Linked DNA regions of Drosophila melanogaster. Changing the gene in region 2 together with the main gene of any one other region gives a genetic interaction. Each region holds a gene or a part of one and is shown on either strand. Other genes may lie near its edges. The genes, in order: wit and FMRFa.

Region 1 (5,248 bases), on a different chromosome or scaffold from region 2:
CTCTGGTCCCCACCACAAAAATCTCACATTCGGTTGGCGTATCAATAGACGATGACAATTCGCGAGCTCTCCGTCTATATCAAGTCGACCCGCCGATGATAATGGCCAGACCCAAATACTCGCACAGCTCCACAATCGAACACTACCGATCGCCAAGCGTCTCCATCAAAGTCTGTCTACGTTGCGGGGGCTGGGGGGATCAAATGAGGGAACCACAAGCACCCACCCACTCCAAGTCTCGAGGGAACGGTTGCACTTTGGAACCGATTTGGAACCAGGCGCCGCCAGAATAGGAATCATTTCACTTGAGGCTCGATTGCAGTGTGGAGCATCTAGATGGAACTGCGAGAATATATTTACACAATTGTGTACCCCTATGAATGAACTACCTTTAATTTATCCCCCTTATCATCCATTAACGAAAGGTACATATGTACATATGTATATAAGCACGCATTCTTGAAAACACTCCACCTCACACTCGTTTCCCCCCTGAATGCTGATTAGAAATTTTGCCGTCATTAATTATGTGGCTGGTTAAAGTTATTACGCTCCAATTATAGGATACGTTAGCTTGTCTTATACATATAAATACATATGTATGTACACACTGGCAAATAAAAATGTGTTTATACCTAGCTGGTAACAAATTTGCATCGGCGGCATTTGGGTTAATTGTGGGTGACGAGGCATGAAATTTAAGCCAAGATAAGCAATTTATCAGACAGTTCAGGATAGACTTATCATGCGATTACGGCTATTGTTTATGGCATTTTCCATTCAAGAAATTCATGCAAGTGAATCAAGAATGAAAGCAAAAGCGCGATATGTTGATTTACAAAAAATCTAGCATTAAATAAATACTAGATTATTTCGCCATAGATGGTGACAACTCTGGTAGGGGTTGATGAACTGTCAAAATGTTTGACAGTTCCTTTTGCCTGAAACAGCTGACCAACAGCTAATAGAATTATTCAGCAATTTTTGCAGAGAACGATTCGATTCGATTTTGTGGGATTGCTAATTTTATTATCCAGCACGCTGTAAGTTACTTGTCAAATCGATATCATAGAATATCCAACTAACTATTTCATTCTGAACTCGAATGTCATGAGTGGAGAACTTGTGTTCGTTTACTTCATTTTCTGGATTGCAGTGAATTTTATTGGCTTCGTCATTGTGCTTAACTATTTTGCAACTCTTCAGAAAGATGAATAAGATGGTATGTTGTTGGTTAATTGTGTCCTGAGTGCATTCATATTCCATTTACCACATTTCATGCAGAACCCAAATCGTAGCAATAAGGATTCGGACACCACTGAGGATTCCAACGCGAAGAAGAGTTTGCAAATGGATTCCGATTCATCAGACGTGTCGAAAGATTACTGTGATGGTTCAGATGAGAACGAGGAGTCCGACCCATCATCAGGTTCCTCACAGGATTCGATAACTGAAAAATTAGCGAAAGCCATATTAGAGGCCAATCTAAGCGAGGACTCTGACTCTTCATCGGGTTCTTCAGAGCACTCTCCAGCTCAAGAAATACCAATACCAGAAGCCTTGTTGGAAGTGGATCCAAATGATCAGCAGTCGGTTGTCAATGCAGTCGGACTTTTGGTTAACATGATTAACTCCAAACTGGATGCTATCATGTCGAAAGTCGTCCCGCAATCACCACTTGATCTTGTCGACCTCGTCCGCCAGAAAAAACTTTGGAAGATGCGTCAACGCGATAAAGCCCAGTTGAAGAAAAGCTCCGAATAGAATATTTTCTGTTCCTTTTCCATTTTCGTACAATATTTCTTGTATCATGATTATAATAATGTTCAATTTATAGAGCAATTATAATTTCGAAGGGACGCTATTTCTGGCCTTTCTTTTCTCCCATTTCGCTTCTGGTTTCCTCTCCTTTCTCCACTTTCAGCAAATGCGCACATGAAGAGAACTCAAGAAGCTAGAGAGCGGTGTCTCTGGCGCGCCAAAACAGGTTCAACTGGCGCTGTCCCAAGTGCTCCGTGGAGTGGGCCGAAGGAGGACCCGCGGGCGAGGAGGCGGAACCCGCCGGCTGCTCTCGCACGATAGCCGACGGCGCCAGTTAATTGCAAATACTGCTCGATACCCTACACTTGTCAGGGTGTACCCAACACGCTCTAAAACTATCTTGCATTAAAATCTTGCACCAATAAATTTTCCTAATACTTATGAATTAAGAAAAATCACATTGTAACACAGGAACCTATGTTAGTTTATAGTTCGTTTTATCACAGGGTATAAAACTGTCTTTAGGCTCACATTCTCCTTCGCTGTTAGTGTGTTTTGGGCCCCACCGTTTTGTTGTTCTTTGGGGCCTGATTAACTTTTTGCGTGCTGCGTGTGCATTTGTCCATGTCCCCATCCTCAGACACATCCGCGCCATTCGGGGGATACATCTTCGTGCTGCAGATGCATTTGGCCAAACTGCGACAGTCGGTGTAAAAAACGATGTGGAAAATCAATGCAAAAACACAAAAGTGCATGCAGTCGGCGGAGGACAGCAAGAACAACAATGGCGAAGGGAATTTGAATGGGTATGGATTCGGAGGTCTCTTGTTGACTTCATTCCACACAGTAAACAAATGGGTTGTATATTATTTTATAATGTATCCAAAATACGAATAATTTCAATGGCCCCTTGATCCTACTACTCGAACGCAATTGTTCTACATACATATCTTTAAAGAACATCCATATGCATACTATGTGATAATGTGCAAAAGATATTAACATTTCTAACAGTGCATGTGTACTGTGAGCAGACAGAGTGTTTTCTGCCAGGGTGGGTGGCCCACCCCAACCCGCCGTCTGCCCTTCGCTAGTCAGCGTATTTGTGTGTGTGTACTTGCGCAGAGTGGAGTAAAAAATTGATTTTTCCAAGACATTCAGCGTTGTTTGCGGAAAACATTTGCACTATTCTGCACTAATTTTAATTTCAATTTGCGAGCAGCACTTACACTTAATTCAGGGCGCTATTCAACCACTGCACTTGCACTTTAAGTTGTATTACTTATTTATTTCTTTTGTTTTAAATAACCGAAAGAAGTTGCACACTCGTCGGAAAATTTATTATTGGGGCACCGGCGCCAGTCGCGTCTGCTTTGCGCTGCACGGCAGCTTTTTTTATTTCTACGCTTTTTAGAGGCTTTTTTATGGCACTTTAAACAAGTTTGCCCGATAGGCGGGCCGTTTTGCCTTTCTGCCGTTTTGCCGTTTGACTTTTCGCAGCGCGCCCACCTTCGCCCGCCGACTTTCGAGGAATGAATGCGGTTTGCTGCTCCGCTCAGCTATGCTCCCATTGGCGCTCTCCGCTCTTCTCTGCAGCCAAAGAAGAAGCGGCGTGCGCGTATTTACGAAGCTGCGTGGAATGGCAGAGGCTCCGATTGGAGCGAGAGTTGTGTAAACGAAAGAGAGCAAGGCATCGTAGCGAGAGAGCGAAAGAGTTGAGCACTTGTTGAGCTTATTACTGTGCACCGAGAAAAAATATTACGTATACGCTACTATGGATGGCCATTTATCCCAAAAAGTATGCTTTTGAACGAAAAGTTGAAGTTTTCCGAACATCATAATGTATTGACGTATCCAGGAAGACTGAATAGAATTTATTTCATTTACTTATGTTAATAAGTGGTCCTACTGCGGAACGGGGTGGGCAGGCAGCACCTGACCCACACACTCCCCGAATCCGATTCGCAGTCCGTTCTTTTCGCAGTGGCCACGGATGATGACCTCGTCAAAGTCCTGGAGGAATTTTCTGGTCTTACCACCCGGAAGCTCCAATGTTTTGGTGCCCTTCCAGCAGAGCTCTAAAAGTGATCCGTACGAGTCTGGAGTCTCACCGGAGATCGTTCCGGAGGCCATCAGATCACCAGGACGCAGATTACAACCGGTGACTGTGTGATGAGCGATTTGCTGCAGTGGAGTCCAATAAAGGTGTTTGAAGTTCGACTTTGAAATAAGCGCTTCGTTTTGATCGGCGGCTGAGAAGGGGAAATTTTGTGAATTAACGTAACAAATCTTTAACAGGCGGCAACTTACGTTTCAAAGACACCTCGAGGTTGATATCAAAGTTAAAGGGAATGTTCTGGCGCAGATAGGGAAGCACCTCCGGTTCCTGAGGAAAGTTGTCCAAGACGAAGGGCTTCAGGGCAGCTGTGGGCACTACCCAAGGGGAGATGGTGGTTCCCAGATTCTTTGCGGTGAAGGGGCCCAGTGGCACATATTCCCACTTCTGAATATCCCTGGCACTCCAGTCGTTCATCAGCGTGAAACCGAACACGTTCTTCCAGGCCTCATCCACGCGTATGGGTTCACCCAGCTGATTTCCCTTACCACCGATAAAGAAAGCCATTTCTAGTTCGAAATCCAGAAGCTTGCAGGCGCCAAAGACGGGCTTCTCTGCTCCATCGGGAAACGTTTGACCAAGAGGACGACGGATGGGAGTACCGGAAACCACCACAGAACTTGCACGACCATGATAGCCCACCGGCAGATGGCGCCAGTTGGGCATCAGAGCATTGTCTGGTCCACGGAACATAATGCCGACATTGGTGGCATGGTGGATGGATGAGTAAAAGTCTGTATAGTCACCAATCTGTGCAGGCAGGTGCAGCTTGATCTCAGACTGTGGCACAATGGAACTGATAAATAAATAAATTATTAACTATGAATAATAAATTATTATAATAAATCCGACTTACACCGCCTTCAAGTCCACATTGTGGTCCAATTCTGAACCCTTCGTCAATAGCTTTTGAGTCTGGCTTCTTACCACATCCCAAGCTTCAAAGTCCAATCCCATAAGCTCATTCAAAGTTTCGGCCTGCAGGCTTTTCTGAACTTGGAAAGGAAACAACTGCGAGACAGCTTTCAGGTCCAGGACATGCTCTCCAATGGCCACACAAATACGGTGAACTTTCTACGGATGGTAAGATGAAAAACACCATTTACGATATACAAATACGATATATGATATGGGGCCTTATCAGAACCTGGTTGCTGGGGTATTAAAGATTGGATTAGCATATTGTTTTCGTAAACAAACTAGTTTGTCTTGGATGATGTATGCAAATGCTATGCCCCAAAGCGGTTTCTGTTCTAAAGTTGATTTCTAGAACATGTGGAACGATCCAAAGTCACATGAAACTGAAGAAAAACTTGAAAATATTACACGGAAAACAGGCTGAGTTAAAGGAACATTTGCTTTGCCATTTAC
Region 2 (6,769 bases):
CAGATGACGTAGCTCCGTCCAAAGTTCGTTGGCAGTATTTACTGTTCGCCTATGTGTATTCAGCACTAGAGATTACCAACTTGGAATCGAAATAAACTAATCAAACTGAAAAATAAAGCTGTTTGGTTTCTATTCTTAAGCCAGCGGTTTCTTAATGCTTACAGCTGGGCGATAAGAATGAGTGGTACTAAAAATGACCACTCTCCACGGACTCGACCCATCTTGATAAACTGGTATACAAAAGAGATTCTAGCGATGTCACAAACCGGACCAGAGTTGTCAAGCATTTGAGAGTGGTTATCATTCGAACATGAAAACAGTTTTCAATTCATTTCTAACTTTCCTTGTATAGAAAAGGAGTATATATTAAATCATCAATACATAAAATATTAGATGCATATTAGATTAAATTTGATAATGGTAAAATCCTAATTCATATTAAATAATATAACTAAATGATAGATGAAGAAATATAGTAAACGGTAGACATATTTTGATACTGGTTACAAGAGTATCCAATGTACTTATGGTTGTAGAACTCCAGATTCTGACCAGTGGAGAAACTAATAATGGCTATACAATATGTACCTCGACCGAAATGAAATAAGACTATTCGAGTGCGCTATAATTTACAGTAAAGCAATCTTTATTTAAAATGTTGCCACAGGATTTTATTCACGCCAATTTCAATTTCTTCAATATTACACTAGATATATTTATAGATAAGAACTTCAAAGCACGGTGAATTTTTAATCCAGCCCATTCATTAAAAATTCATAGTTCAGGCATAAGTCAGGAGTTCGTGTGAGGAGTGGGTTATATACGTATATCAATTTAGATCCTTGCGTACATTTGTCCATATCTATTTACAAGGAGGCGTCCCGCAGGACTACCTCACTGGCCGAAGAACTGGTCCTGTTCCACACTCCCATCCTGCGTGGTGGTCGCCTGTGCGCCGTTCTTCACCTGCTGATCCTGCAGCTCCTGTTTCTTGAACAGCTCCGTCATGGCCTTGTCCACTGGACTGCGTTCGCCTGGGTTGCCTTGATTGGACTTGACTGGCTTGGACTCGGGAGCCGCCGGCTTCAAGCTCTTACCGAATCGAATGAAGTTTGAGTCCATCTTCCCGGAGCGCACAAAATCCTGCGGAGCGGAACGCCCGAAGCGCATGAAGTTGTCCGGGCGACCGAATCGCATGAAATCCTGTTTGGGACTGCGAAGCTCCTCGTGGGGACTGCGTCCGAAGCGCATGAAATTGTCGGAGCGTCCGAACCTCATGAAGTCCTCCGCCGGAGTGCGTCCGAACCTCATGAAATCCTCAGCCGGAGTGCGTCCAAACCTCATGAAATCCTGCTTGGGATCTCGACCGAATCTCATGAAATCCTGCTTGGGATCCCGACCGAATCTCATGAAGTCCTGCTTTGGATCCCTGCCAAACCTCATGAAGTCCTGTTTCGGATCCCGACCAAACCGCATGAAGTCCTGCTTGGGATCTCTGCCATACCGATCCATAGCTGCTCGCTTGGCCATGCCCTCCAGTTCATCGGATTCAGCATAGCTGCCCTCCGGTGGCAGCTGCTCCGCCTGCCTCTTGCCGAAGTGCATGAAGTTGTCCTGCACGGACCTTCGCTTGGCCTCCAGCTCGGGATCGTACTTGTAGCGCGGTTTCCGGCCGTGTTTCTGGAAGTGCAGCACCACGGCGTTCTTCGAGTAGTCGATGCCAATCACAGAGATGGGGTGCCGGAACTCCAGCTCCGCCCTCTCGGTCTGATCGTTGCCGAGCAGTGCATCTACCAGGTCATTGTCCTGCGGTGGACTCACCTCGGAGTCAGCGTCCTGCAACGAGTTGCCCGCATAGTTGGGCGTATCGATGATCTCGCTGTGGATGGCCGACTGCATCTGGTACAGGGCCAGCAGGAACATCAAGGCAATGCCCATCTGCAAGGATAAGAATGGAGTGACGGCAGGATAATTATGAGGCGGCGGCATCTCGCGTTATCTATTGCAACTTTTAATCACATTAAGACCGTTCGTTTTACTTAGGGTAACAGTAGCCACCGGCAGCCAGGACGCGCAGACAAAGTGTCCTGCTAATTAACCATCATGATATTTATGGCCAGATCTGTTGGGCCGGCGCGTTAAAAGTTAACCAGCCGCATTAAAACCACAACAATGGCATGCCACGACAATGGGCCCTCACACCCACTTAGCCACCCACTTAGCCACCACCACTCATCCACCCACATCGGCATATAACCAGGTTTACAGGCATTAACACTTGTTCGGAAAGCCCGGCGAAGTGGGCGATGAGAGGAAGTGCCAGGGGAGCAGGGCGGTTGATGTATGGTGTCCGGACGAGGACGACGACGCCAGCACCATTAGAGATGCAAATGATTATGGCTTTTGGATATGGTGACGGCTCAGCCTGCGAGGCCTGCTCAAGGCAAGCTGATCCACTGAGTGCCGTGTCAGCGCATTGTGAACGTGGCATCTGCAACAGGTTGCAGCTACCAGGTAGCAGGACCTAGCGGCACTCATGAGTGTTCAAAATTGAATAGCCAGGTCCATTGGGGATGGTACAAAGGTGCGCTGCTGTACTTCACTTTCTTCTCTCTGATGTGACTGAAAACACATAAAACATTGGGGTCACCAAACCCTTTTCGCCTGCTAATATTTCTATCTTGGCTAAGATTGCTAATGCTGCACGTCTGCTTGATGGTATTCAATCAACTGATGACACACAACTAAAACATTAGTCATTAAATTTTAGTTACCACTTTAAAATCTGGGCGTCAACTTTCTGCAAGCCCTGTTAACGTGGGGATATGGCTAACAAATCTTCATGCTAAATGCCACTCTTTCGCTTCTCAACTCATAGATAATAATCGTTATTATCTGCCATCTTTATGTGGCTATATTTACTTTCTTTCGTTTTCAAAAATATTGAAATGTGTTTTGCAATGGCTGCAACAATGTTGCAGGAAGTGGAAAATCAGGGGTTTTCCCAACCGCCAGCCAGTGGTCAATTAGCACTTCTGTGCCGTCGATGTTTGAGTGCTCCGTTTGGATAAATTAAAAACTTGCCCAGACAACTCACAACAAAAACTTGACCTCCAAGTCGCCGTCTGATGAGCAAACTTCGCAACCACGAGCATTAACATACTTTCGGCGGTACTCGCTTAATTCGATGTCGGGGCGGCAATCAGAGCCGCATTCAGGCAATCGAGTGTTCAAGAGTGCGAAGACGATGGCCCAGACAAACCGTCTAAAGATTTGCATACGCACTTCTCAGCTGAGATTTTAATGGGCAACAGAGTGTTGCAGTGGCAATTGCACTTACAGTTGCATGTGCATTTGCAGCCAGCGATTGCAACAGGCGAGGGAAACTCAAGGGTCCCATAACATAAAAGAGGAAACTAGTCAAGCGTCGTTTAATTTATGGGCTCCAACTGGATATGTTGCAAGACACACTGCCGCGGCCAAAATATGACAGACAGCCTCTCCAGAGGCAAGGAGTCAGCGAATTTGAAGTGGGTAGACAACAATTGCCAAATGTCTGATTGATTTGCGATGCCGAAATGTGCATTTAAAATTCATAAATGTGACGCGCTGCCGCCTTATTTGTTTTGGGCGTAAGGCTAAAAGTCGAGGGAACCAGGAATGGGAGGTATCAATAACAAACTCGTTAATTCGCTTAGCCAGCCCGCCCAGGAATGATGGCAAATGGAAGATGGCAAGATGGTGGTAGATGGCAAATGGTAGATGGAAGATGAAACCCGGGATTCGGGGCAGGCCTAAACTGATTTGCATGGCATATGCGATACGTTTGATATCTTTGAAGTAGCTGCCCTGGCAACACCTCCAGCCGCCCGCCCGCACTACGCATCCTGGATTTGCAGGATTCATGCATGCGGAGCACATTAACCGTGGCGGGGCATTTAAATATCATTTGTCAGGCTGGAGCTGCACGTGTGGGACACCTCGGGAGACAAATGATGGGCCCGCGGGGCATTTCACTTGTCCACTGTCGGCGATAAATCAAAAATTGCACACGCTTCGCTTTACTGTTCTTGGGTTCTTGAGGTCCGGCTGTTAACACCACCATTTCCGCATTTTCCAGCGCAGGTGCGAATGCAAATGGAAATCTAGCCTCGTCCTGGGACCCAAAAGTGCACTCATAAATATTTCAATTTGCCTTCATTAACCGAAATGGCTGTTGCCATTCCCAGTGTCTGCTGGATACGAGGAAAACTATTTCCTTGTTGTTGGTTTTTCGCTCGCTCCAACTAAGTTTCCATGTGGGACGGACAGTCGAAAAGTTGACAAAACCGAATTAGTTGGCGTTAGTTTGGCAAACACTTTTGGGCCAATTAAAAATTACCCGGATTTGGGAATTATAGCATGTTATTTGACGCTTTTACGAGGCAAACTTATTAATGTACACGAAACGCAAAATGTCAAACCTCATATCCTTATATCCAACTCTATGTATTTATTCGAATAATATCATAGTAACTATTCTTTTGTGGCATAGTTGCCAATAGGCGAAAGTTACCAAGTGATTTTAGCTTTTTCATTTAAAGCAATTGCCACTAATTGGCTATTGGCTTTTCCAAAGAATAACTCGACTGCTTAAGGCTCAGCACTGTTTTCACACTTTTCGCATGGCACTCACCTCTGAAACCTGTCCCCTTACTAGGAAACTAGAGTGAATTCGAAGGTCTGGGGATCCTTTTGGGCCGCACACACACTTGTTGCCCGCTCGAAGGTGGAACAGTTCTGTGAGGATGTTTGGCGAAACATCCTGTTTTATATGCGTTGCGTCCTTTGTGCTGGCGCCCAAGGAGGCTGATGTTGAGGTGCCTCTGCGAGTGGACGCGCGCAACAAGTGCTGCGGCAACATGTTGCCAGAGGACATTCAATGGAACTGATTTTCGCTGCAGTTTTTTCTGCCTTCCGAGCGCGCTAGTCACCACCACAGATTAGCAGGTGTATTCGGGGCTGAAAAAAAAACCTTGACAATGTCGGCAAATGGTCGCTGGTCAGCCGCTGATATGTTTGTTTTGCTTGTCAGCGGTTGTCAGCGGGACAAAAGGCCAAAACACAGACCGCATTCATGCTGACTTATTAGCCAAGAAGCACGAGGGGCAGCAACAATGACGTAGCAACATTTCGACGCCAGTTAGGTGGCCACTCGAGCACCAAATTGTATGCAAATCGCCCACAATTGTTATGTTACGCCCACTTTTAAGTCGACTGTGGGATGAGCAGGGACATCCTGGCCGGGCACGTCCAATTAGCCTTCTAGCCAGTGGATCGACTACGTGTCCGTATGCGTTATAATTTGCCATTGCCGTCGCGGCGTTTATGGCGCTTTATGGCCCTGTAACCTGTAACAGGATACATTGTGGCGCCTCTGGCATCTCGTCCAGCACCCGAAACCACCCCATCCCAGCCAGCTTTTCAAGACTCGACTCTTGGGTGGGGCTGAAAAAACTGTTCAAAAGACGGAAGTCTGTAATTACGGCCCGGCAAAAGGCCAAAGTTTTGGAGACGAGTCTCATCAATGGCATTTGGCTATTGTCCACCACGCATGACTGGGCAGAAATGTGTCGGGTTTTTGGACAGGTTTATTGGGTGTCCACTGCTCTTGTTGACGATCACCCATAATCAATATAAATACGTTCGAAAACCACGTCTGCAGATGGCTTCATTAGCATAAGTAGATGCGAAAATCGAAAATGAAAACGAATTAGAAGGCAATGTGATAAGGCGAGACTAGTTCAAGTTCAAATCTTGGCTTGAGTTTGATGACCAGGCCAAGTCGTGTGCCAATCGCCCAGTTAAAAATAGTTCAGCTAGACCATCATCTGGTCAAGAAAACTGCGCTGCTCTGTAATCTATGGACTCACCCCAGAAGCTTTTATTGTTAATTCATTTGCATTTGTATGCCTTAAATTTATAAATATCTTCGAATTTAAATAAAACTTGTTGTTTACTTCACTGATGACTTTTGTTTTTTGTAAAAGACCTCATATTATGCACGCCATAAAAAAATAAGATTCTTGCATAGTATTTTTTTATAAGTTTTATAACCCAAATGATGTGGTAACTTTGAAGTCAACCCCATGTTTAGTTGTTAGTTACATATTTTCGGCTAATTCTATCTTAAAAGTATATGTCCACATTTAATCAGTTGCAAAGTCTAAGCTTTAAACAACTGTAACAATGAGGTTATATATATTATTAAAGTGTAACTTTTATAGATATCTGTTTTCATTTTGTTACTTATGGAAAATATTTCTTTATGAATCTGATTGCTTGTTGTGTAATGGAAAACAGATATTTTATTACGTACAAGGTCCGAACAATAAGCAACTTTTGTTAATAATCAAAACTAGTTTGTCATAGTACTCAGTTTATTCTTTATTATCAGTACTCGCCATAACTGATTTAAAAGGTTAGGCAGCTTAATACAACCATATTGATTGAAAATATATTGAAATATAAGAATATTTTTAACTTCGAGCCTACATGTGAGTATCTCGTGGCATTTTTTATGCTTCTGGCCAAAACGCTAGTTGAGCAGAGGTCAGGTCAACTGACCAACAGGCCGCTTCGCACTCGCATCTTGGCCACTTTGATTAGCCCGATTAGGTGCAGCCCTGGCTGAAAATATACCTAATAAAATAGATGCTGCGACGCTGTTTCGATGTCAATGCCATTGTCAATTCACGGCTGCTGCTCTGCTCTTTTTTGTTTATTTCCC

What was found.
Region 1: of FMRFa (region 2) and wit, changing one suppresses a phenotype caused by changing the other (phenotypic suppression), as found in Drosophila melanogaster (one study listed by BioGRID).

The regions. Positions count from the first base shown.
Region 1 is NT_037436.4:4,068,419-4,073,666, forward strand, and holds the start of wit (wishful thinking), read right to left. Parts: upstream 3,300-5,248; 5' UTR 2,991-3,299; intron 1,864-2,990; exon of another isoform or gene 1,765-1,863; coding exon of another isoform or gene 1,285-1,764; intron 1,223-1,284; coding exon of another isoform or gene 1,211-1,222; exon of another isoform or gene 1,071-1,210; intron 1,044-1,070; exon of another isoform or gene 951-1,043; intron 1-950. Other genes in the region: CG32259 (uncharacterized protein), read left to right, coding at 1,211-1,222, 1,285-1,764; Faa (fumarylacetoacetase), read right to left, coding at 3,667-4,013, 4,072-4,673, 4,734-4,951.
Region 2 is NT_033778.4:9,904,308-9,911,076, reverse strand, and holds FMRFa (FMRFamide), read right to left. Parts: upstream 4,784-6,769; 5' UTR 4,676-4,783; intron 1,939-4,675; coding exon 895-1,938; 3' UTR 620-894; downstream 1-619. UniProt on the Drosophila melanogaster protein: In insects, FMRFamide and related peptides have modulatory actions at skeletal neuromuscular junctions, and peptides that are immunologically related to FMRFamide are released into the circulation from neurohemal organs.